Linked DNA regions of Lonchura striata. The main gene of each other region encodes a partner of the protein of the gene in region 3 in a complex. Links are inferred from orthologs where the notes say so. Each region holds a gene or a part of one and is shown on either strand. Other genes may lie near its edges.

Evidence for each region.
Region 1: the proteins of NELFCD (region 3) and NELFB are in contact, whole or in part, in a crystal structure (PDB 8JJ6), measured with the Homo sapiens proteins. The link is inferred for Lonchura striata from reciprocal best matches to the Homo sapiens genes NELFCD and NELFB. Residues at the interface, in XP_047296144.1 of Homo sapiens: Arg63, Ile66, Met67, Glu68, Pro69, Ile71, Phe72, Leu75, Ile89, Gln90, Leu92, Ser93, Tyr96, Thr97, Ala98, Val99, Ala100, Gln101, Thr102, Val103, Asn104, Leu105, Leu106, Trp109, Leu110, Gln112, Thr113, Gly114, Val115, Gln121; in NP_056271.3 of Homo sapiens: Met49, Leu53, Leu56, Val58, Ala59, Asn60, Gly61, Leu64, Lys65, Leu68, Thr69, Leu75, Ile78, Glu79, Phe81, Gln82, Glu84, Asn85, Gly86, Val87, Leu88, Leu89, Ser91, Leu92, Ser94, Ala95, Leu96, Pro97, Phe98, Leu99.
Region 2: the proteins of NELFCD (region 3) and NELFA are in contact, whole or in part, in a crystal structure (PDB 5L3X), measured with the Homo sapiens proteins. The link is inferred for Lonchura striata from reciprocal best matches to the Homo sapiens genes NELFCD and NELFA. Residues at the interface, in XP_047296144.1 of Homo sapiens: Cys204, Gln205, Gln206, Leu207, Glu208, Phe210, Ser211, Leu214, Arg215, Leu218, Ala219, Ile221, Leu222, Asp223, Gly225, Glu226, Cys241, His242, Gly243, Glu244, His245, Thr246, Tyr247, Leu248, Phe249, Ala252, Met253, Ser255, Val256, Leu257; in NP_005654.4 of Homo sapiens: Leu23, Trp24, Ala25, Leu54, Leu58, Leu61, His62, Arg65, Pro88, Trp89, Met92, Val93, Ile96, Leu97, Phe100, Gly104, Ser105, Leu106, Leu108, Leu110, Asn116, Val117, Asp119, Ile120, Leu121, Glu123, Leu124, Arg125, Lys127, Val128.

The regions. Positions count from the first base shown.
Region 1 is NC_134624.1:4,222,651-4,230,711, forward strand, and holds the start of NELFB (negative elongation factor B), read right to left. Parts: upstream 3,089-8,061; 5' UTR 2,951-3,088; coding exon 2,849-2,950; intron 2,714-2,848; coding exon 2,550-2,713; intron 2,383-2,549; coding exon 2,283-2,382; intron 1,062-2,282; coding exon 831-1,061; intron 1-830. Other genes in the region: ectonucleoside triphosphate diphosphohydrolase 2-like, read left to right, coding at 5,324-5,437, 7,448-7,565. UniProt on the Homo sapiens protein: Essential component of the NELF complex, a complex that negatively regulates the elongation of transcription by RNA polymerase II.
Region 2 is NC_134606.1:8,449,677-8,457,663, forward strand, and holds the start of NELFA (negative elongation factor A), read right to left. Parts: upstream 3,072-7,987; 5' UTR 2,784-3,071; coding exon 2,532-2,783; intron 1-2,531. UniProt on the Homo sapiens protein: Essential component of the NELF complex, a complex that negatively regulates the elongation of transcription by RNA polymerase II.
Region 3 is NC_134619.1:3,738,105-3,745,739, reverse strand, and holds the start of NELFCD (negative elongation factor C/D), read right to left. Parts: upstream 3,083-7,635; 5' UTR 3,042-3,082; coding exon 2,976-3,041; intron 2,625-2,975; coding exon 2,509-2,624; intron 2,355-2,508; coding exon 2,245-2,354; intron 1,421-2,244; coding exon 1,311-1,420; intron 998-1,310; coding exon 890-997; intron 337-889; coding exon 184-336; intron 1-183. UniProt on the Homo sapiens protein: Essential component of the NELF complex, a complex that negatively regulates the elongation of transcription by RNA polymerase II.

The DNA.
Region 1 (8,061 bases), on a different chromosome or scaffold from region 3:
AGGGACATGAGGTCCTGAAAAGGAACTGTTTACCCCAAGATTTCCAAGAGCATTTGTTCAAGAGATGTTCACCAGATCTTCAAAAACCAAAAGCTGCCATAACCTGGTTTTGTCCCAACCCACAGATTCTTTCTTCTACCCTTCTGATTCTCCCCCCATCCCCTCAAGGAGAGTGACCAAGTGGAGGTGTGGTGCTGAATGTCCAGCTGGGGTTAAAGCACAACTCTGCAGTGCAAACCTGGAGTAAATTGCACAAGGGCATTTACACCAAATGATTCTGAAAGCAAAACAAGCCTAAAACAAACCCTCATGTAACAGATGTGCTGTGCTCTCTGAAATTAAAACTATACTGCCTTAATTTAATTCAACTTTTCCGGATGCCAATTAACTACAACTTTCTACATAGTTTTTTTTTAAAAAAAGCAACTTCAGTTGAAATACATCTACTAAAAAAAGTCCTAAGAAAGCGAATTTAACATATCAGCATAATCAAACTGATGTGGTAAGAGATGTTCAGCCTTCAGAACAGCTGAAGTGTATTAAAACCAGACTGACCACCAGAGAAAAAATCTGCCCTTTCTTTTTTTGAAGTGTATAAACAACTTAGAACATTCATCATTTATTACACAACAATTAAAATAATTCCTCCTGCTTTTATCAAAATGTGCAGGAGAAAATGGCCTGGTGCTTCCTGCAAAGAGTTTGTTCAGCTAAACAACTGCAGCAGTGAAGATGGGCAGAAAAAAACAGCTCAGGTTATTTATGTGATGGTTGACTGAAAGCTGGTAATTCCCCTCACCAGCACATTGTGAGGGTTTCCTTGTCCTTACCTCTCCTTGACGTCTCGTTTTGGGAGATGGACTGAAGAAATTTTGCAAGAAGGAAATATCATTGCTGAAGAGAATGTTCTCCTTCTCCAGGATGTATTGCTTCAGCAAGGGTGACACCTCATCCCCAAAGAGAGCCTGGTTGTCCTGCCAGATCTGCCTCTTCACCTCCACAGCACAGGCCTTGTACAGGTCCTTATCAGCCATCACCAGCTTCAGCTTCTTCTCAGGGACCTGCAATCCACAGAGCAGGTACAGAGTGAGCAGCACCTCACCTCCCTGCCTGTCCATGTAACCATCTAAATCATGGAATCAGAGAACCTCCTGAGCTGGGAGGGACCCACAAGGATTATCCAGCCCAGCCCCTGTCCCTGCCCAGACCCCCAAAATCCCACCCTGGGCATCCCTGGCAGCGCTGGCCAAAGGCTCCTGGAGCTCTGGCAGCCTCGGGGCCGTGCCCATTCCCTGGGCAGCCTGGGCAGTGCCAGCACCTCTGGGGGAAGAACCTTTCCTGCTCTCCAGCCTGAGCTGCCCTGGCCCAGCTCCAGCCGTGCCCTGGCTCCTGTCCCTGTCCCAGGGCAGAGCTGGAGCTGCCCCAGGAGGAGCTGCAGCCCCGGGGAGCTCTGCCCTCAGCCTGCCCCAGCTGAACCATCCCAGTGCCCTCAGCTGCTCCTCACGGGCCCCTCCACACCCTGCACCATCCTTTTAACATTTTCCAACAGCTTTAGATGTTTTTTCATCTTGTGCCCAAACAGCCCCAGGACTCAAGGTGAGGCAATCCTCTCCATGCCGTGATCCCCACCTCAGGCAGTCTGGGCATTCACCCACCTGGTGTAGCAGTAGACCAGCCCTAAGAGACTTCAACACCCAAATCACACACCCTTGATTCTTTCAAAGAAGAAAAAAGGTCTACTTTAAATCTCCAGTGCTGAGATTTGAGGTGATGTTTCCAAGCTCAGTAATTTACTGAAGTTCCAGCAGTGTTTTGAGTCCATTACATTGAGTGCAACATGATGCTTTTAGTAAGGATTTTTGTTTCACAGACCTGATTCTCCCTCCTGCCTACTTTTAATTGCACTTTTCAAGCCTTACCTTCCACTTGTCAAAGATTTGCAAAACAGTTGTGGAAAAATTCACCTATCAGCAAACTTGACTTTTTAGGAAGCTGCATGGATTGAAGAAAATAGGGAAATAGTCTCGTCTGATAATGAAAATGTGAAAGGCTTTTTGAATTAGTCCACTGAGCTATTAGCAGATACAAGAATGTGTTGAATCCTCAGTCAGTTCTTGACACTGAAAAACACACTTGCAGAAGGAGCAGAGGGAGCAGAGCCTCCCTGCCAGAGGCACAGCAGAGACGTCACACCAGAGATGTCACACCAGAGATGTCACACCAGAGATGTCACACCAGTGACATACCACATCACACCAGGCCAACCAGTGCAGTGGTCCCACCTTGGGCAAGTGCTTCATGACACACATGACCACGGGCTGTATCGAGGGCATCTTGACCAGGGAAAAGCTCTTCTCTAGGAGATCTTCCAGCTTCTTGTATCTGAAATCATGGGAAAACATGAGACTAGGTACCACGCAGCAGTAAAGGAACGAAGTGGCCACCTCAAAGCCACTGGAACTCGGACCCTGAAGAGCCCAACTCTCCTTTAGAGAAGTCACCCACCCACTGTATTTTCACACAGAACTCCCAGGAGGCTGCTGACAAACCTCTCCTCGACCTTCCCCTCCAAAGCGATGGCAGAGACTCTCTCCAGCAGCTTCTCCCGCAGCTCATCGAACACGGACTGGTGGAACTCGAGCCGGGGGGTGCCGTGAAGGTCCAGGAAGGGCAGGGCATACTGCAGCGAGGGCAGCAGCACCCCGTTCTCCGTCTGCAACACAACCCGCCGAGGGAATGACAACGGCACTCGGGATTACAAATACAGCCAGGAAAAGCCCAGAGGGCGCTGGGGGCCGTCCCGTGCTCGCTGTCCCGCACGGCCCGGCCCCACACGGCCCCAGCGCACCTGGAACTGCTCGATGGCCTTCAGCGGCTCCGTGCAGTTCGTCAGGGTCTCCTTGAGGTCCTCGCCGTTGGCCACTCCCAGCTCCTGCAGCCCCGCGTACATGTCGGCCCGGCCGGGCGCGGGGGCCGCTCCAGGTGCCGTTCCCGGCCCTGTTCCCGGCCCTATTCCCGATCCCGATCCCGGTGCCGATCCGGTTCCCGGTCCCGCCTCAGCTCCCGCCCCGGCTCCGCGCGGTCCGCCCCAAGCCGCCCCGCGGGCGGGCCCCGCGCCGCAGCACGGAGGTTCCGCCGCACCAAGGTTCCGCGGCGGCTGCCCCGGGCTCCCCGCGGCCCGAGGAGCTCGGTGCGGCTCGGCTGAGCGCCAGGCAGGGCGCATGGGGCTCAGGGAGCCTTTGGACAGCACATGCGATCACGGAATGGTTCGGGCTGGAAGGGATCATAGACGGTCATCTAGCCCCACCTTCCTTTCCAAGCAGGGTCATCCCAGAGCACACGGCGCAGGATTGTGTTCAGACTGTTATAAATGAAAATTTGTCCAGCCAAATTAAAATGAAATATAAAATATTTATTTTGCAATCAAATTCTATCTAGCCAGCCACAAGGAAAGAACAGAGCCGAGCCCGGGGTCAGCCCTGGGTGTGCCACAAGGAGTCAGCCCCAGCAGAGGTTTTCCTCTGTGCCCACACACCTCCAGCCTGGCACAAGCGGTTTTTATAGGGAAAATTCCACCTGAGGCCAAGAGTTCAGCAATCAGTCTTTTCTTCCATTCAGAGCCCATAGGTTAATGAGATTTTCTTTTTTGGGGATGAAGAACAATTCAGTGCCAGGAGTTGGTGAATCCCTTGATGAAGTTTACGGGAACGCTGCATTCCCATGGATCTGCCGGAGGATTTCCATGAGATCCATCCCGGGTCGTTCACGCCATGATCAGCACCTGGGGTCCCCAAATCTCTCTAGACATGGCCCATCCCCATCTCCTGGCCAAGCCACATCTTTTTACTTGTAAATCAGTTTCTAATATACACCCAGTCTCACCTGCGAGGGTGGGGGGCCTAATACAAACGAGCAGAATCTAACAAGTATCCAATATTACACATTTCATACAAGGAATGGCGCTAATTATGTTTACTACACATAACCAGACGGTTCTGGAATATCTCCAGTGAGGGAGACTCCACTCCCTCTCTGGGCTGCCTGTTCAGAGCTTGGTCACCCCCACAGCAAAGAAATTCTTCCCCATGTTCAGGTGGAGCTTCCTGGGTGTCAGCTGCTGCCTCTTGTCCACTGCTGGGCACCAGCAGAGTCTGGTCCATGCTCGGACACCCCCCTTTAGATACCCATACACACTGATGAGGTCCCCTCTGGGCTGTCTCTTCTCCAGGCTGAACAGACCCAGCTCCCTCAGCCTCTCCTCACAAGGGAAATGTTCCAGAGCCTTGGCCAACTTTGCAGCTCTCCACAGGCCCTGCTCCAGGAGCTTCCACATGGTGGGACTCTTGGGAGTGTCCTATGCAAGGCTAAGGGTTGGACTCGATCCTTGTGGGTTGTTATGGACAAATTCAATTGGGGAGGCTAATTATAGATAAATTAATTAACAAGAATTTATTAAGCAAGTGGTATTAAGCAAAAGGCAGCGCTGGGCAGCTGGGGAGTCTCTTCTCTATCATGGTGCACGCCCTCCCACTTTGACTTTTTTTTAATAGTCCTTTTTTCCTTTTTAAACCTTTTTATTTATTACATGGGTCACTTCCAAGTTCCTGGGGGTGTCTGAGGCTTCCTCATGGGCAGACAGCAATGAAAAGAGGAAACCACCAAAAACAGAGATGTGGCCTTTCCCTATTCCTGGTTTCACCTTCAGATCTATGACCAGTCTGTGGACATGAGCAATCAGCCAAATGCCTCAGTGCAAGCAGCCATGGAGTTTTCTTCTGAATTTCCATTTGCAGGGATGAGACTTTGTGGCACTGTCAGGAGAAAGCAGGCGTGTGTTTCAAGAAGCCTGAGCCTTGGTTGTTTTCCACAGGGAGGCTGTCAGAGAGGCTCATGCCCTCAGAAACAAAGTAAATCCAATAACAAGCAGTTTCCCCAGCTTCTAATTTGAAAGCTCACGCTGCCAGATGTGGAATACCAAAGGGATGAGTTTTGCCTGCCTTCTGCTGAGTTAACCCCACATTTGTGTTTACCTCAACCCCGCTGCCTGGGGCAGTTTCGAGGTTGCAGCGGTGCTGCTGCACAGCTCGCACAGGGATGGGCACAGAGCCCTCCTGTTATTTATGGGCAGCAGGGATGGAAGGGAAAGCAGAGCTCCCTGACACATCACAGCCAGGCCCACGCGTCCCTGTGGTCCCTGTGGCTTGGGGCTGGGCTGAAGTCAGAGCCGGGCCCTGGCCACGCCTTTCTGCTCTTTTTAAAGGTTATTAAAGCAGCCGGTTTGCTGCTCCACTGCTTCCTCTTTGGTGAAAGGAGAACACTCTTCATGTCTTGGCGAGAGCTGCTTCCCCCCTGGCTGGTGATCGTAGCGGGGCTGACGGGCATCGTGCTGCTCTGTGTCTCCACCAAAGATGTGCCCGTGGCCCCACTCAGGACCAAGGTAAGGGCTCTCCAGGGGGGAGACAGGCAGCTAAGCTGGGCTGTTTTGTTGCTTTTGACATAATTTTATTATTGAGCTACTTACAAACCGAGGAGGGAACTGAAACAAGACTGTCAGGACAGGTTGGCGTCTTTCAACATGCTGTAGGTTTTCAAACCAGAAACAAGCCCCCTCCTTTGATTGGTCATGGAATGCGGGCTGGATATGGTCCATGGATCAGTGGAGATGCTCAGGGCAGGCTGAGGGGAGGCAGCCCATGTCAGGAGCTGCCCCAGAGCAACAAGGAACCAGTGGTGTCAGTGCAGGGAAAGAGCTAGGTCCCTCTCAAAAGTCAGTAGGAATGTGCCCCTGAACTGCTGCTTCTGTCTTAAAAACAAATTGTCTTTCATGCCTTCTTCTCTTTGGTCCTGTCTTGATTTCAGTCAAAGAGCTGGTGTGCTCCTCACAGCTGGGTCAGGTCTTGGGGGGTTAATGCTCACCTGCTCTGTCTCTTGATGCTCCCATTGCTGAGGTGAGCTCAGTGGCACACCGTGGTTCCACCCAACAGAAGGAGGCTATCCTGGGTGTTTAGAAATAGCACCCCTCCTCCATGTTCCTCTCAGAAACAAAACTCAGTTAAAACCCCTCTTATTGCTCCTTGTTCTGTCCTTTCCTGGTGTTGAGCTGGGCATAAATGTGGTGATCCCTCCCCTTCTCCCTTGGGCTCTCAGCAGCAGCCTCTAATTTTCTGAAGGAGAAAAAAAATTCCACGTTTCTCCACCAATGCCATTCCTTTCTTCCTCTTCTGCAGCAGCCAACATGTCCCTGCTAGAAATCCGAGCTGTCACTGGTGTGGGAGGGTGCCAGCAGGCTGGGGCAGGGAGCTCCAGCCTCCTTCCGCATTGCTGCTCCAGCCCAGCCCCACCAGCCCCTGGCCTGGCTGCCAGGACTGGTGCAACTGGGAGCTCCAGGAGGGCAGCAGGCAGCCAGCCTCACTCAGAGCCTGCAGCCAGCTCTGGCTGGTGCTGAAACCCTTCTGGTGGCATTAACATCAACCTCTCAGGAGGTTTCTCCTCCCACTCAGTCACAGCTCTATTTGTGTGTGAGATCCAGCTTTGACCACGCACTAGCATGCAGCTCATGAGTTTTCTTCCTGTCTGTGTAGGAGATGTCCCAAACTGGGGTCATGTAAGAGGAGCAGAGGAGCCCTAGGTTAGCTCTGGAGCTATTTTGGGTGTGGGGACAGCCAGACCTGTGCTGCAGGGTAGTCCAGTGGCCTCCCCTTGCTCTCCTTCATATTCTGGAAGCAGCAAGGCTTGGTCAGCAGCAAACAAACACTGGGGACAAGGAGACAGAGAGCCCTTGGTTTGGGCAATAGCAGAGCTGCCCGGGGACAAGGGGTGAGCTGATCATGTCTACTGCTGCTGCTCTTCCTGCCAAGACATCATCTCTGTCTCTGAGGGGCTGCTGTGTTGAACAGCGTCTGTGCTGGTTGCTGCAGCTCCTACAGCTCTGCACACAAACCTAAGCCTGTGTCACACCCTCACTGCAGTGGGACATCAAAGAGACACAGGAGTCCTGGGTTTCCTGGGAAAAGTCAGCTGCAGCCCTCCAATTCCTGCACAAAAGCCTGAGCAAACCAACCAGCAGCAGTTTGAGTCCCAGAATCAGTGGAGAACAGTGCCATCTCCCACTGCTTTAGGACCTGTTTTTCCTGAGCTCCAGGTGGCTCAGCTCTCAGGGGAAGCCCTCTGCCTGGTTTCAGGAGCAGCTCCAGTGCATGCCACTGTAGGGCTGATGTATTTCTGGGCGTTTCTTCACTCCTGCTGTTCCTCATATATATTCAGAAACGCAGATGGTTCCCTGCAAATCCTCATCATGTTCTGGCTTCACCTGCTCTTTGAATGTCACAAGCAAACTCAAGCACTGCAGTGCAGACCCAGAATACCTATATATGCTTGGTAACCCTACAGAATCAGTCAGCATGCATTCACTAGTGTTTTTCAGTAGAATGTTCTGGGGTTCTTCCAGTATGGCATTGTTCTGGATGCTGGCCCATCCCGCACCATCCTGTTCATCTACCAGTGGACAACCACCAAGGCAAACAAGACCGGGGTGATCAGAGGATGCAGCTCCTGCCCTGTGCAAGGTAAGGTGCCCATTTCCTGCTCAATGGTCCATGCAACTGGCATGGGATGGATGGAAAAACAGAGACCTGTGCATGGACCAGTGCCATAAATTCCTTGGCTCCCCCAGCTGTGCACAGAAATAGTAAAGCACAAGTTGCTTATTTTCAGCATAACTCTTCTCGACTGGGTGGATTTAGCCACACACAGTTGCACATCAGGCCCTTGGCAGTAGCAGGTGTCAGGATTTTGGGGCTGCTGCAGGCAGGGAAACATGCAGAGAGGATGTGGCTTGTCTTGATGTGCACATGGATCAGTGATAGAGCCAAGGTTGCTGGAGCTTCTCACCCAGGAGAGGCAGTGAACAGCAATGGAGACAAATCTGACTGCAGGATGACTCCTAGTATCTTCTCCTGACTGTGGAGAAGAGGAGGACTCCTGGCCTCCTCCTGACTGTGCCCTGGGCAGTAAGTGGGGTAGCTCCAGGACAAGAGAGCTGCAAAACTCCAATTCCCTATA
Region 2 (7,987 bases), on a different chromosome or scaffold from region 3:
CGGTGCTTCTCGCACTCGATCGATACAGACACAGGCACATGGCATGGCAAAGACATATGACTTTCCAAAGAGAATAATTAAGCACTCTCATAGTTCAGTTTAATCATTTTCAGACATGGGGGTGACTTCCAACACACAAGCAAAGGCTGCTGCAGAGAGATGTGCACAGCACAGCCATTCTGGACACAGACATATTTATCTATCTGCTGGATATTGTGTGCAAGGTACTCTCTGACAATTAAAACACTGAATATTTTGATACTAAGTTAGGTGACAAATTTGCACAAATAAAACTATCTTAGCAAACTAACCACAAATGATGAGCATCTGATAAGACAACAGTCCTTTCTGTCAGCAGTTTGGTTACATCAGCTATTTTTACCATCTATAGAAGGAAGCCTGTAATAATAATAACAGGCCTACCAACAATGTTAAGGGTTTCTGCCTCAGGAGTTTTACTATTTTAACCTTTATTTAAGGCCCTTCACCCAGTTTAAGGCAAAAAAATCTCATGTTCCTGAAACAATTAAAGATGCTAAGGGTAGATCTCAATCAATCATCATCAGTTTACAATAAAAGATTAAGCTTATGATTGAATTCATTAACTCTACCAAACTGAAAAATCCCACAGTATTTTCTTACAGCAGGAACAAGAGCTTTACATTTGGAACACAACAGATCACTTTAAGTACACAGTAAAAGGCACACTGACTGGCTTTTCTCTACACACACTTCATCTCCACGGCTAACACAATCACAGATCCAGGAAAGCTGCAGGCAGCTCTTCCTCGGGTTTGGTTTAAAACGTTCACCTAGTGAACACTCTTGAAGCATCTCAAATTATTTCAGTTTGTTTGTTTGAATGCTGCTCCCTCAAAGAGTTGCCATGAGTGCTATTTATGAAAGTCCTTAAGCTCTTTGAAGCTCTTTTCAATCTAAAAACACCACTGATTTTTCTAAACACTGCCATACTAATTTGCTACTTGGATGTTCACACTAAGGTCACAAGAATTTTGCAAACTCACAAGTTCACACGAGCTCCCATCCCCCTTTCTGGCCTTGATTATTTTGTTTGTCCAGAACACAACCCCATTTATCACCCACAAGGATGACAGCTTGTTCACTGGACAGGCACTAAACATGACTATCATATTTTAAAAATTAGCATAAACATGCTGAACTAGATTTTTTTTTTAAAGTGACACCAGTGTACCACAGTTAAGAATCATACAGATACATGTGGCAAGACAAACACTGTCATACACTAAATTATTTATTGAAGGTGATGCTTGCCCATTTTCAGCCTAGAAGTGCACAAAAACTGAGCGCACATCAATCCAAGTTACATACTACACCCTGCCTGGTATACATGTATATTAAGCTTAAGCAGCAGCTGTATCTTAGCCAAGAAAGAGACTGGTGAAAGCACAGCTGAGGATACTCTACAGAGGAAGGTGAAAACTAACCCCACACCACTTCCATGATCGTCACAAGGAAATACTACTTTACATGATGGAAGCAGGAGAGGAATTCCTCCAATCCGGCTAAAGAAACCTGAGATTTTCAGACATTCTCCAGCTATTGCCCCAAACATCTGCAGCTGCCTACCGGTAAGAATAAGCCAGGTGCAGATGAGGTATGGTCCAGGGCCAAGTGAAAAGCCTGCAGAGCCAGCTCAGATTCGAGCCAGCCAGTTTATTAACTGGGGTAGGACAACAGAGGAAAGCACCAACTGTTCCCAAAAAGGTAAAGGGAGGGAAACAAAAAGCATGGCAATTTTCCCCAATCAAGACCTGACTGCAGCAGGGTGGGGAAAAGCACTGCTCAGTGCAGACCCCAGATCTTCCACTCCCAAAGTTTCAGCACTTGCTGCTGTCCTCCCTGAAGCGAGATGCTCGACCTGTGACACCTGCACAGCTGCCAGTACTAAGGAAGGAGTGGAGGAAGCTGAACACATACACGACTGCTCCTACACGATCCTGCCTCTCTCCCAGCCACCGCACAGCCACTGCCTCAGAAAAGCCCTCTTCCCTTAAAGGCACCCCAAACACAGCCCTACAATGAGTCCCTGTGGGTCGCACAGTGGGTTTCATGTCCAAACTGCTTTCAAAAACCTAGTGCCAACCAGGGAATCCCCGAAGAGCAGGAAGAGGAGGAGCAGCAGCAAAGCTCCCACTCCACTCACTCCCTTATCGCGGGGAATCTCGGCGCTCTTCCTCGCACCGAGGAAGCGAGTCGGGAGACCTTCTTCACTTACTCCTGCCCCTGCAAGGAAGGCTGCGAGGGAGCGGCGGGGAAGGCTGTGGGGACCAGCGCTACCCCACGCCCCTGCCCTGAGGGGCTGCGGCCGCTCGGCTTCGCCCCGCGGGCAGCCCGGGGCTCGCCCTCCCCGCAGCGCCGTGTGGAAAATAAAGGGCGGGCGGGGGACTTGTGCCGGCACTGCCCCCCTTTCTCCCCTCACGCCATCCCCGACCTCTCCCCCTCACACACACGCGCGCCCCGCTTCGCTGCGACTCCCCCCCGGCTCTCACCTCATCCACCGCCCGGCGGGGCAGGTGCAGCATCCCCAGGAGCAGCTTGAGCTTGACGGCCGAGGAAAGGCCGTGGAAACAGAGACGGATGTTGTCGATGACCGAGGCCGTGAGCAGCGAGGCGATGCTCGGCGGCGCCCACAGCTCGTCCGTGGAGCCCAGTTTGTTGTGCAGCCACAGGCCGGTGTCGCTCTCCCGCATCGACGCCATCTTGGGAGCGGGGCGAAAAAAGAGGGGATTCTCGACGGGCATTTTATGAAGGCACCTAAAGGGAGGAAGGGAGGGGGTGAGGACCCCTGCGGGTCGCCGTCTTGTTCGTAAGCCAAAATGGCGGCGCCCAATGAGGTTGCGCTTGGGAAGGCGGAGGCTATGCCGTAACCTAAAATGGCGGCGCCCAGGAGGCGGAATGCAATAAGGCGCGTCTCATCTCTCGGCCAAATGCAAAATGGCGCCCGCCATAGCTTTCCGTCCGTAAAGCAAGATGGCGCCGCTTCACTGTAGAGAAGCTCCTCTGTCAGCCCCAACTCATTGTCCCTCACAGTCCGCCCTGACTCCTCCTGGGCAGAAATGGGAGGAGAACCGCTTGCGGGCCGCCGAGCCGCGGCGGGGTTGGAGGCAGGGCTTCCTGCCCGAGGTGGGCTGGCCCCCGCGCCTCCCGGCGCAGCGCTCCCCGGAGCACCACGTCTGCTTCCCTCACAGCCCCGAGCCCCGGCGGGGCGGCCGGCCCGCGCTCCCGCCCAGCGCCGCTCCCCGGCGCTAATGCCCGCTTAAAAAGCTTTCAGCCAGGGCTTCCGAGAGAGCCGCCAGCCCTGCCCGCCCGGAGGAGCCCGGAGGAGGGGCCGAGTATCTCCTCCATGGTTTCCCCGGAGATTGGCGTGCTGGGTGCCGCAGCCATGGCGGGCTTCCCTCGGTGGCTGCAGCGCCGGGGGTAGGCGCGCAGAAACCCGCACCGCATGCATTCGTATTCCCTAGCGACTCGGCTCGTTGTTATTTAAATATGAAAAAAATGAATCAATTTCCTAAATCCCCGAAGATTCAGGGGGCTTTCAAGTGCAGCATAAACGGTTCGTTTTAGCGCTTCTCTGGTTGAAACTAAAGTACAGGAGTTGCAAGAGTGCGGAGCATATTCTGCTGATCTTTCTCCTACGCTTTAGAATGAAAACGTTTTCTTTACAACATTCCGCCGTTAAAAGACATTGTTTACAACCTGATTTCTCTGGGAGAACAGAGCAATAGTTGCCGAGGTGCTCTATGTTTTCTCATAGAATCACATAATCCTTCAGGTTGGAAAAGATCTCGAAGATCACCGAATTCAAACATCAACCCGGCCACCGCTAAACCATGTCACCAAATGCCACATCTCCAGACTTTTGAACACTTCCAGGAATGGCGATTCTACCGCTTCCCTGGGCAGTCTTTCCAATGCTTAACGACCTTTTCAGTGAAAATGTTTTTCTTACTATTCAATCTAAATGTACATCATGGAGTCTTTTTTTGTTCATGCTACTGAGTGACTGCAGCTCTTGGGTGCTATAACTTCTGTCAGTGTGGAAGTATTTTGAGGCAAAGAGTTTCTGTGTGAATAAATTCTATATTAGTACATTATGACTTTTTCCATACCTAATAATGCATTTTTTTTGTACCATCAAACAATTTATACTCAAATCTGACTTAAGACAGAACTTTTGTATGGAGTGAGCTGATATTTTAGAACAGCAAAATCAAAGCTGAGGCAGTGTAGCACATAAATATCCAGAATTTCTGTTGATTTCTCAATATGTAAGTTCACTATGTAGCTGGGGGGGGAATTACTTCTCCACAAATACCTATGTATCTGTTGGTTTGAACAGAAAAAACATTGTATCTAAGACGCTGAGCTAAATTACTAAATTTGCTACAGAATATTTATATAAAGGAATATAACCTCATATAACAGGAAAGTAATTAAAGCAAAAGGTTTAAAAGTAGCTGTAAAGGAATTGCATTCACTTAGTCATATAATCAACATGTAATTATCACTAGTAACCTTTGCTCTCCATTAATTACATATAGCTGTTAAAGGTAGGCACCAGTATTGGTAAGTCTTGGGTACAATCTTATCTATCGGGTAAAATCCATGAGATAGTATAAAAAATCTAATTAAGCAAGGAAAACTAGTGATTATCTCATCTTTTAATTGTGCAAGAAAGTAACCAACCCCTTTTAAAATTGTTTTGGGGGAGGTAAATCAGAACATGTTTGCACAGCTGGTTGTCTTCAAGCAGTGGCTGTAACAGAGTTAACCTGGTTCTGTGAGATGACACAAACTCCACCAGTTCAGATGGCTGGACTGGCTGTCTTTGAAAGGGTAGCTCTGATTCCCTAAAGTTATTCAAGTTATTCTGGGATTTGGTGCTGCTTTTCTCAGGAGAGCCAAACTGCAGGCTGATGGAAGCTAAGGAAGGTTATTACACACACACCGTTCCTGTGCTTTCCTCGAGGCATCTGTTTTTAGACACTGTCAGTGTTAAGGCACTGAGCCACATGGCCATCTAGTCTGAGCTGCTGTGATGACTTTTGTGCTTTTATCTGAAGTGTGACTTGAGAAGGGAGCCTATTCTGTGATGTGTGGATTTGCATGGTCAGTTTGGCTCCAGCCCTATCACCTGCAGATTTGTCCCTCTGGCTCTTACCTGAAGAGGTATCAGACACTCTGGAGATTAAGACAAAGTGCCAGCCTCCTGTAAGAGCTTTTGTTGTGCCAGCTACTTGTACCTTAAATTTCTGTTGGAATTAAGTGCTTTTTTTTTTTTTTTTTTTTTTTTTAAACCTAAATTTTGTTTAGCTTGGGTAGTGATTTTCAGAGTGATATGCCAAATATAAAAAGGCTCATTCCTCAGGGATTTCTGGAGCTGGAAAAGGGGTACTTGATTTCTCTGGAATGTTTTGTATCCCTCAAGATGTTGCATTGCACAGATAACTGTCTGCAGATGTTTTTTCCTGTAAGTTGCAGGTCCCTATTTCAAAGGAGGTGATGTTGAATATGAAATTGTTGAGAAAAGTTGGGAGTGGAGTGTGCCACAAAATTGACCAGGGGGACACCCTGGAGTCATTCACTCACCCAGTCATGACAGTATTGAAAAAAGAGCCAGGCACAGGCAAGAGTTAATTTCTTTGAATCTGCTTTATAATACTTTTAACAAAGGTGAAGCTTTGTCTCACACCAAAACCAGTGCTCCATGAATTTCCCAACCTGCAGTTTTAGCTTGTTACCTGTTGAAATATTATCTATCTAGCCCTGTGCTATCCAGAGCAGAGTGCTGTGTCAGATTCAACATCATTACTTGTACCCAGCAGGATGTTGAGGGGTAGAGCCTGGAGTTCTCCTGGCTCGAGGGAAAGCAGCACAGCATCTGGTACACTCATGGGCAGAGCTTTCAGTTTGTGTTGGCTCTGATCTCTCAGTGAACAAGAAGCTGCTTTGCTGTTTTTAAGGAAGTGCTGAGGCATGTGCAGTAAACACGGCGTTGGCATGAGCAGTGGCACTGCATTCCCACTGGCACCTCATCCTGCAATGGCAAGTATGGTAGTGTCTGAGCCAGCAGGGCTTTAGGCTGTGATTCATGCCATGCTCACAGGGGCCAGCCCAGGAAGGGAGACAGAGCAGTAGATTGTGTATTATCATATAATTTATCCTTCTGCTCCCCCAGCATTGCCATCAGGACTGAATAACAGCTTTTCTGTGAACTTTTATATTTGTATCTTGAGTTCTAAATACCGCATCTTTTCAATAGGCTTTTAAAGCACTGTTTCCTATGTTTTCAAAGCAGAAAAAGGAGATAAATTTTATCCTTTGATATCAGGCTGGCATATAAGTTTACTGTGGGGTTAAGCATTTAGAGGTATCAGGGGCACTAATGGAGTAACTGGTAGTAGTACAAGTCTAATATCCTTTATGGTAACTGACAACAGAGGTTTCTCAGTGGGTCTAAGGTACACAGTTAATTGTTATTAAGCAGGAGATGATTTTATAAAATGGTATTTAATATCAGTTTAAAGACAGTTATAATTCAGTTTGTAAAATGCTGCTTATTATGGGTTAATGCAATTGTGTGGGTGCATCATTTTGTGTGGGAGTTTTATTTGACCCATTTTAAGACTGCTGTAGCAATGTGATCTGAAACAACACATGGGCTGAGAATTTACTCAAATAAAACCAGATTATCTGACTTCCTCAAGTCTAAGGCAAAGCTTCATTGTGGGAACCTCCTCTGTTAGCTGTGACACAGTCAGCTCCTTTCTCTGGGAGGCAAAGCCTCCAGCAGAAATAAAGATAAAAGCTACAAAAAATGTCCTGGTACTTCTTGTTGTGTGAATTGGCATGGCATGATGGGCAGTAATTGTTTCAATGTTTTTTTCAATGCTGCTCCATCCAGCTGCCTGTGTCCAGGATTATGCTTACATTGCTGTCATACCCTCTTGCAGCACAAGACATATAGTCACATGATTTTATGATTATTTTCCCTCTGAAATAAACTTCAAAATGATGCAGTGACTTAAAGCCAATGATGAAAAAGGCCCATGAAGAGGAAGAGGTTGAAATCAAGACTACTTTTCCTTCTGTCTTGCTCTAGAGCAGTTAAACTTGGTACACTCCTGCTCTGGGCTCTGATGTGTGGCTGATGGGGCCTGAACACTGAGGGTCAGCAGTGATAAAATAATTTCATTAAGGTCTCTGTACCTGAGACACCTACCTGAGAGGTCCCATCCTTGAGGAAACACCCATCTGTTTGGTTGCCTCTGCCACCTCTTCCATTGTCTTTCTTTTACTCTTGATTTTAGTAAGATTTAAGATAGATTAATATAACAAAAGGAAGAATTAAAATTGTTATTTAAAACATGAAACTATGAATGCAGAGCTCAATTAAGTTCTCAATTACTTCTAATAAATAAGAACACCATCACTGTGAACAGTCCAAATACCATTAATTAGACCTAACAATGTGTGAAATTAAAGACCATTAGAGGTTTTGAAAAACCCCTAGGACCTAAAACACAAAGTGTTGCACACAAATAAATTTGTTGTTTTAAATCCATATATTTGCCCATGCACTGTGCTTCAAATTGTCTCTGCTTGTGATGATATGGCCAAGTGGTAGAAAGGCCTTGCATTGGATCATCTGTTACTTGACATCTCATGGTATAGAATGTGTAAAGCATCCTATTCTTATTTTGCTGGAGGCATAATGCTTTCAGTAGCTGTCATAATGCAATTGTGCTGAAATGAGGGGTATTACAGGTTGTGACATAGGGCACATTGAGACAATGCTGTGATCTTCCACAAGGAAGTCATGAAGTTTTCAAGGAAGAATGCTTCCCTTTTCATAACCCCCTGGGACTTTGTTTGCCAATACCCATAAGTTTATTTCCTTTTTTCTCTCCCTCTTTATTATCTTTCAGAAACTATTCTTCATCTT
Region 3 (7,635 bases):
ATTCTTGGTCACAGAATGACCAAAAAGCATCAATTTTTGGGTTTTAACTCAGATGTACCTTTTCTTCATAAGCTTTTATAGGACATCAAAATTGGCTACAATCCTACACTGATCTCTATCTCCTAATTGGAAAGCAGAACAATTCTTTTTCCACATAAAAAGGGGGAAAAAAACCAAACTTACAGCAAACTCAGGGAGGTTTTTCTCAAGGTTTTCCTCTCCCCCATCTAAAATTGTTGCCAGAGATGTACGCAGGACTCTGGAAAATACTTCTAGTTGCTGACATGCTGTTGAAACACTGGTTATTTCCCCTTGATACCCAGCATCAGATATAAGCTATAAAAATAAAAACATCACAGAAATCTTGTGTTATTTGCATTTCTATTTCTGATATCCTAACAAATCTAGAAGAACACAGACAATCTAAGTTTCACCTCTGCACACACTGACTGGAATTCACATTTACATTGTGGTTTACAGAAAAGGAAACCAATAAAGAGGTAGCAAAAATAAAGCACAATAATAAAAAATGTAGCAGAGCACACCAAAATATAACATTCTTTTCTTATCACAGCAACATACAAAACTGTCTGAGACATTCCACTGCACCAGAAATACAGAATTTTGAGAGATCACAGGAAAACAAACAAACAAGAAAAAAAAAGAGAAAAACCCCAACAACCTCAACAAAAAATGAAAAAGCAGTACTTCAAACTGGGAAATTACACTTACTCCACCTGTAGCACAAGTCCTCCCACCAAGGAGTCTTTTTACTAATTAGTATTAGCAGGAATACATAAAAGATACAAGCAAGGCAACACCTAATAATTGATGCCAGAACAATTAGCTATCTATGGATATTCTTACTCATTAGACTTAAGTGTAGTACCTTCACAGTAAAATTAAGCATTAAACAATCAGGATGGGCTTCTGCCAATTTGTAAAAAAGATCTCTCCACGTGGTATGTGCTATCATTTGCTCAAGCCAGGCTGGAGTCTGAAAAGAACAGAGCAACAGAGAGAAATTTAAGAATGTTTTGTTGTCAAGATCATAAAAAGCAAGGCTTTTACCTCTCAGCAGTCCAGTGAGTTGTTCTACAGAGCTTTATTACTGTAGAACAACTAATGGGGATGTATTCCAAATTTCCCAGTTCTCTAAACCTCTGAGGACTCCAGTGAGACAGAGCTGGTTGTCTGAAACCAGCTAAAGAGCTTTGAAGATTCAATTTCCCTTCCCTTCACCATTCCATCAGATGAAGGCATCTAGGAAGGATTCTCTGTAGGGACAGCAACAGGGATTGCATGCACACCTCTCCTTCCTCTGTAAAGATGGAATCTGCTTTCCGAGGGTCAAAGTGCTTGATCAGTAAGCTCTTCAAGTGGTTCTCCACAGTCTCCTGAACTTGCATTGGCTCAACACCTGCACAGAAGGAACAAAACACTTGGCACATGCAGTGTGGTACAGTGGAACACAGCAGCGACATCCCACATTTTACAGTGAGAACAGAAATTACTCCAAAATTTATCAGCACAGAGATGAGAGCCATCAGTTCTACTACTGAGCCACGCTTATACAGATTTACAGATTTTCCACCTCTTTTTCCTAAATGCTGAACTGTTTAAGATCTCAGGCAGGTCACAACCTTCCTCTTTCCTCATTAGACACACAAAAAACATTGCCAGTCATCCCCAGGACTCTTACTGGTGTAACAGCAAAATGCAGGGGGTGTCTTAACCAAAAAAGGGATCACCAGGGCTGGGGCACAAAGCCATGTTACTACACAGTAAAATTAATCCTTTTAAATATTGGTTATCAGTAGATTTGGTAGTATTATAAAAAATAACACACAAGTAAAAATGAGTAGTTCTACATTTCTAAAATCAGAGTATAATAATTCTGGTAATGTAATAACGATTACATAATTAATTCCATTACAGGATAAAAACTCTGCTTATACTGTCTACATAACAGCTCCCTTACCCATTGAATAAAATTAAAAAGAAGCTATAATTTATGCAGTTATTTCAACTATAAAACCTTTCATAACATAGTTTGTTGGCCTTTCATCAACATATTGCTTCATTATTCTCCAAGCGGAATAAACCTATTATTATAAAGGATTTAGCCACATACTGGATGATGGCTTTATAACAATCCACTTCCTGTGGATGATCAAATTTGCCAGACATTCAGACATTTCTGACAGAAAATAGACCCAAAATACTCTGTATCTTGTATCATACCTGTCTGAATGAGCCACTCTGCCAGCAAATTGACAGTCTGTGCCACTGCAGTGTAGTTTTCAGAGAGAAGCTGAATTACATTCTCTGGAGACCCTCCTGCTTGGAAATATCTGATAAAAGGATTACAAAAGGACTATTTGAGTCATATTAAACCCAAAATTCAATAGAAGTGTAAATTTAAAGGGAAAACAACAGCACCATTTATAGATTTGCATATGTTTCTATACGAAGTGACACCTATAACACACATCAAATCACACTCACCTCTTTAACGTGTTAAAGATAGACGGTTCCATTATATAATCAGGTGTTGAAAATTTCTTCAGGCACTCCTGCTGCACTTCGGCATCATCTTCTCCCTCCCCATCCTCATCATCTTGCTGCTCACAAGCACAGTCAGGTCAGCCTCCCTGTCCCGTCTCCCCCCACACTCCCACTTCAGGCTGTTTTTGCCCACAGCAGCACACACACCTCGGCTCAGCACCGCAAGCGACCTGCACCCCGACAAACAGCGATTAATAAGGGAGAAGGCACAAAAACCCGCAGGGTTTATCCCGGGCCCGGCGCGGCCCCGGCCCTCACACACGCGGCGCTGCCGCCTCAGCCCGCAGCCCCGGGACGCTCCCGGAGGATGCTCCGGAGCCAGGGGAACGCTCGGATCTGTGCCCGGGGCTTGCCCCGGGACACGCCTGGGGCTGCGGCCATCCCTCGCCCCGCTCCCCCGGGCTCACCGCGCCCCCGTCCGCCTCGCTGCCCCACTCGGCCGCGCTGCCCTCGAAGTAATCGGCGTCCTCCATGTCCGCCCGCGCCGGAACGGGCGGGGCGCCGCAATGGCGGCGGCGCGGGGCGGCGGCACGGCGGGGCGGCTCCGAGGGGAGGCGGCACGGCATGGAGGCGCGGCTGTGAGGGGCGGCGGTACGGTATGGAGGTACGGCTGTGAGGGGCGGCTCTGAGGGGCAGCGGCACGGCATGGAGGCGCGGCTGTGAGGGGCGGCGGCACGGCTCTGAGGGGCGGCGGCACGGCATGGAGGCACGGCTCTGAGGGGCGGCGGCACGGCATGGAGGCACGGCTGTGAGGGGCGGCGGCACGGTATGGAGGCACGGCTGTGAGGGGCGGCTCTGAGGGGCGGCGGCACGGCATGGAGGCACGGCTGTGAGGGGCGGCGGCACGGTATGGAGGCACGGCTGTGAGGGGCGGCTCTGAGGGGCGGCGGCACGGCATGGAGGCACGGCTGTGAGGGGCGGCGGCACGGTATGGAGGCACGGCTGTGAGGGGCGGCGGTACGGTATGGAGGCACGGCTGTGAGGGGCGGCTCTGAGGGGCGGTGGCACGGCATGGAGGCATGGCTGTGAGGCACGGCTCTGAGGGGCGGCTGTGAGGGGCGGCGGTACGGTATGGAGGCGCGGCTCTGAGGGGCGACGGTACGGCGGGGCATGGCGTCCCGGCTCTGAGGGGAAAGGAGCCAGTGTAAATGTGAACTCAAACTGCCCTGCGGAGCCTCCCAGCGCAGCAGCAACCGCACGGGAATTGCAAGGGAAGAGGGAAAAAAGGGATGCGTTGTTCCAAGGGGTGGCTTCTCTGAGGGATGTGTTCTCCGAGGGATGTGCTCTCCAAAGGTTGTGTTCTCCAAGGGTTTTATTCTCTGAGGGATATGTTCTCCAGGGGTTGTGTTCTCCAAAGGTTGTGTTCTCCAAGGGTTTTATTCTCTTAGGGATGTGTTCTCCCAGGGGTTGTGTTCTCCAAGGGTTGTGTTCTCCAAAGTTTTTATTCTCTGAGCGATGTGTTCTTCAAGGGTTGTGTTATCCAAGTGATGTGTTATCCAAGCAATGTGTTCTCCGAGGGTTGTGTTCTCCAAGGGTTGTGTTCTCCAGGGATTGTGTTCTTCAAGGTTTGTGCTCTCCAAGTGATGTGTTATCCAAGCAATGTGTTCTCCAAGGGATGTGTTCTCTGAGGGATTTATTCCTCTTCTGGTTGCCACTGCACACACAGCACTGCCCTCCCTCCCTCACTCCTTCCCTCACTCACATGGAAGCATGAGGGCGATGTCAAACAACAGCAAATTGATAGTGTAAAAAATGCATATTTTGTGATTGGCTTTTTGCAAATATTACACTGAATATTATATGTGTAATGTTAGAAAGTTATGCTGTATTCATTCTCTTAAGTAGTGTGTTAAATATAGTTTTAGGTTCCAACATAATGTTAAAATAGAGATGTGGGAGGAGTTTTTTTTTTAGGAATGAGATACTCGCTTCGAGGAACACCTACATCTTCCAAAGGAAAGGAATTTATGGCTTCTTACCAGAAGAAACTAATTTCTTCAGGCCTTGCTCAGACTCGAAGACGCCATGGGGATTAAAGGAAAGAGTTGACACACAACAGACAGAGTTTCTTGTTTTAAATAGAATGTATGCATAACCATGAAGGATGTATGAATATGCAACAAGTGTATTGTTTTAAGGGTGATTCCTTTGTTCACAAGGGATGCTTTTCGTGACCGAGTGTCCGAGAGCATCCGGACGTCCGTAGCTCTTTGCTTTTTATTGTCTTGTAATTGTCCTCGCTCTAAACTTTATTACTCTAATTGTATTACTATTTTTATAACCATTTTATTATTACTAAACTTTTAAAATTTTAAAAACCAAGTGACGGGTGTTTTTCACAATAGGAATGATGAAATGTTATGGTAGAATAGAAAAGCTGACAAGTAAGAAAACAGAAACCAAAACCAAAACAGAATAAAAGGAGGAAGGGATAACTTTGGAGCAAAGTGGGCATCTCTGGGCAGAGGAGAGGTGCTGTGAGAGCCACATCCCCTGTCGTGGGGCTGTTCTGTAAGCAGGCAGGGCAGCCTGTGACTGCTCCCCTGTCACCCTGTTCTTTTGAGAGTTTTAAAGTTCTTAGAAAAGTTTCTTGTGCCTTCTGTTTTTTACATATTTCTACTGAATTTTCTCACACTGTTCATATAAACAATGATTGCTTTGCATTATTCTTTGTGGGTGGAGAGAATTGATGAACTCTTGGTGTGACCAGTATGGTTGGAGAGGTGGCAGTTTCACCCTCCAATCCAGTCACTTTTGCTATTATATATATATTATACTCTACTATATTATAGATATAGTAGAGTCAGAAAATAAAGTTTGCTTTTTTTTGGTTCTTTTTCTCTCCTTTTACATCCAGCCTGTTTGTGTGAGTAATATTTCGTGTCGTAGTGTGACACTCCCCATCCACAAAACGGGACCTGCAGAGCACTCGCTGTGCTCACCCTGGGACCTTCCTGAGGATGCTGAGCAAAGATAACAGGTCAAGAGGGTCCTCAAGGAAGGGAAGGACAAGGAATTAGATGAACAGGGACGAGTCTACAATGAAAACTGATCACATAATCAGGCCTCGGGCAAGGAGAGAGGCATTAGTGAGATCATGTGAGAAACAGTCCCTCTGTCTCTCTTCAGCTCCAGTCCCACTCTTCAGTTGGATCAGAGTTTCACTGGGAGAAAGGGGAGGGTAAGGCTGTGTTCTGGGATTTGGAGACCAGCCAGGAGTTTTGCTGATTAATTATTTAAAAGGTCCTTTATTCTCATTCTGTTTCTAACTGAAAAACAGTATAAAAAAATGACATGGTCTTCCATGCGTTGCTTGGTAAAAAAGGCCAAAAACCCCCTGCTCAGAAATAAGTTACAGCATCTCCAACAGACAAAATCCTTGTTTAGATGTGGTTTATGTGCTAATCAAGGGATTTGCTGCACTCCAAAGTTCAATACAGAGAATGTACCCCAGCACCTGAGCTGCAGCACAGCAGAATTGTGCTGTCCTGTGCTGCCCTACAGTGGTGAAACAGCTTTTCCTGGAACACTGCTCCCAGTCGGGAGAGCCCGGGATAATGTTCTTTTTGCTCGGCCAGCAGAAAGGAAAAAAGGCTTTTTTTGGGATAAACCACACGGATTGAAGCAGAGCCACAAGGTTTTCCACGTTTTCCACTGCAGGCAGGAGGACAGTGAGGGTATCTTGATGCCTGTGGTCGTTTTTTATGAGGGACGATTTTTATACAGGTAGGAGAATCTTCCCACAACCAACATTTGCTGTGCATCTCCTGGGCAGGACATTGGGATCTGCAGCCCAGATAATTTCATTGTACCAGAGCTCATGGCCTGAAGCACTCCTAGCCTCAGTAAAGCGTTTTCAGAGCAGGCAAAAGTTTTGTTTGGTGACAACAGTTGGACTTGTGGGACCTCAGTGGTAATTATGCTACAAAACTTCCTCCTTAATTGAGTAGAAAATGGGAGCAGTCCCCAGCACCAACTGCCATAAAGAGACAGTTAAGATATTTATGATACAATTTCAGTGCCTGAATCTTAAAACTAGAAGTTTTCCATCTTTATATATTTATATCTCTTTATTTTGATTGCAGTAACAGAAAAATATTTTTTTTAATATATAAAGAATTAACAATACTCAAAGCATTTACTTTCAGCTTCCCTTGAGAAGGAAACTAGAGATCTGTAACAGCCAGACATTTGCTGAATAGCCCTTTGCAGAATTGCAATATCCAAGCTTGCCTCACTTCAGGTCAATAAACAAGAGGTAAAGTCAGATTAAACCAAACACTTTCAAGATATCACTTAAAATGAGATGAAATATGAAAGGTACCAGAAATTGATTTTGCTAACTAAACCTTTACAATTTTGAATGGAAACAATGTTGGTTGTCTCTTGAGTTTAACTGCATTCCCCCATATGGATTTGTGTCTTACAAAGTATCAGTGAAATGTTCATGACTAAAAGCACTTAGATTTACCTGAATGTCCCTGAAAGGATTTATTATGCAGAAAATTAATGTAACAAATTTTCCCCTAAATGCATATTTGACTACATTTTATGTGTAAAATATTCTTGAGTGACAATTTCTATCTAATGAGATTTTGATGAAGCAGAGAGCAAACTTTGAGATAAAGTTTGAGACAGAGAGAAAATTTGGAGCCCGATAAATATCCAGTGAAAGTCAGCTTTGGTGTCTCTGCTGCATGGTGCGAGGAAGCAGTAAAGGCATTCTGGAAAGTGAAAGTCTGTGAAGAAGAGCCAGATGTACAGGAACATGTAAAATTACATTATTTTTTCTTTGTACCTTTTTTTTGGTTGTTATTTAACATAAAAATAAACAATGCTCAAGTTCCAATTCCAACTATTAAAATTTGCTTGATTTTTCACCAGAGTATTTAACAACTGTATTCCAGGATTTGCTGCCTAAAGGGTTGAATGTAATACAGCTGATAAAATCATCCAACTTCATTTGGTTTCTTCCTAAAATATAGAAGAAAAATCCCAAACAGAAGAGCCAACTTCTAACAGAACTGCTTGCCTTTTATTCATATGGTTTTCAAAAATATCCACCCT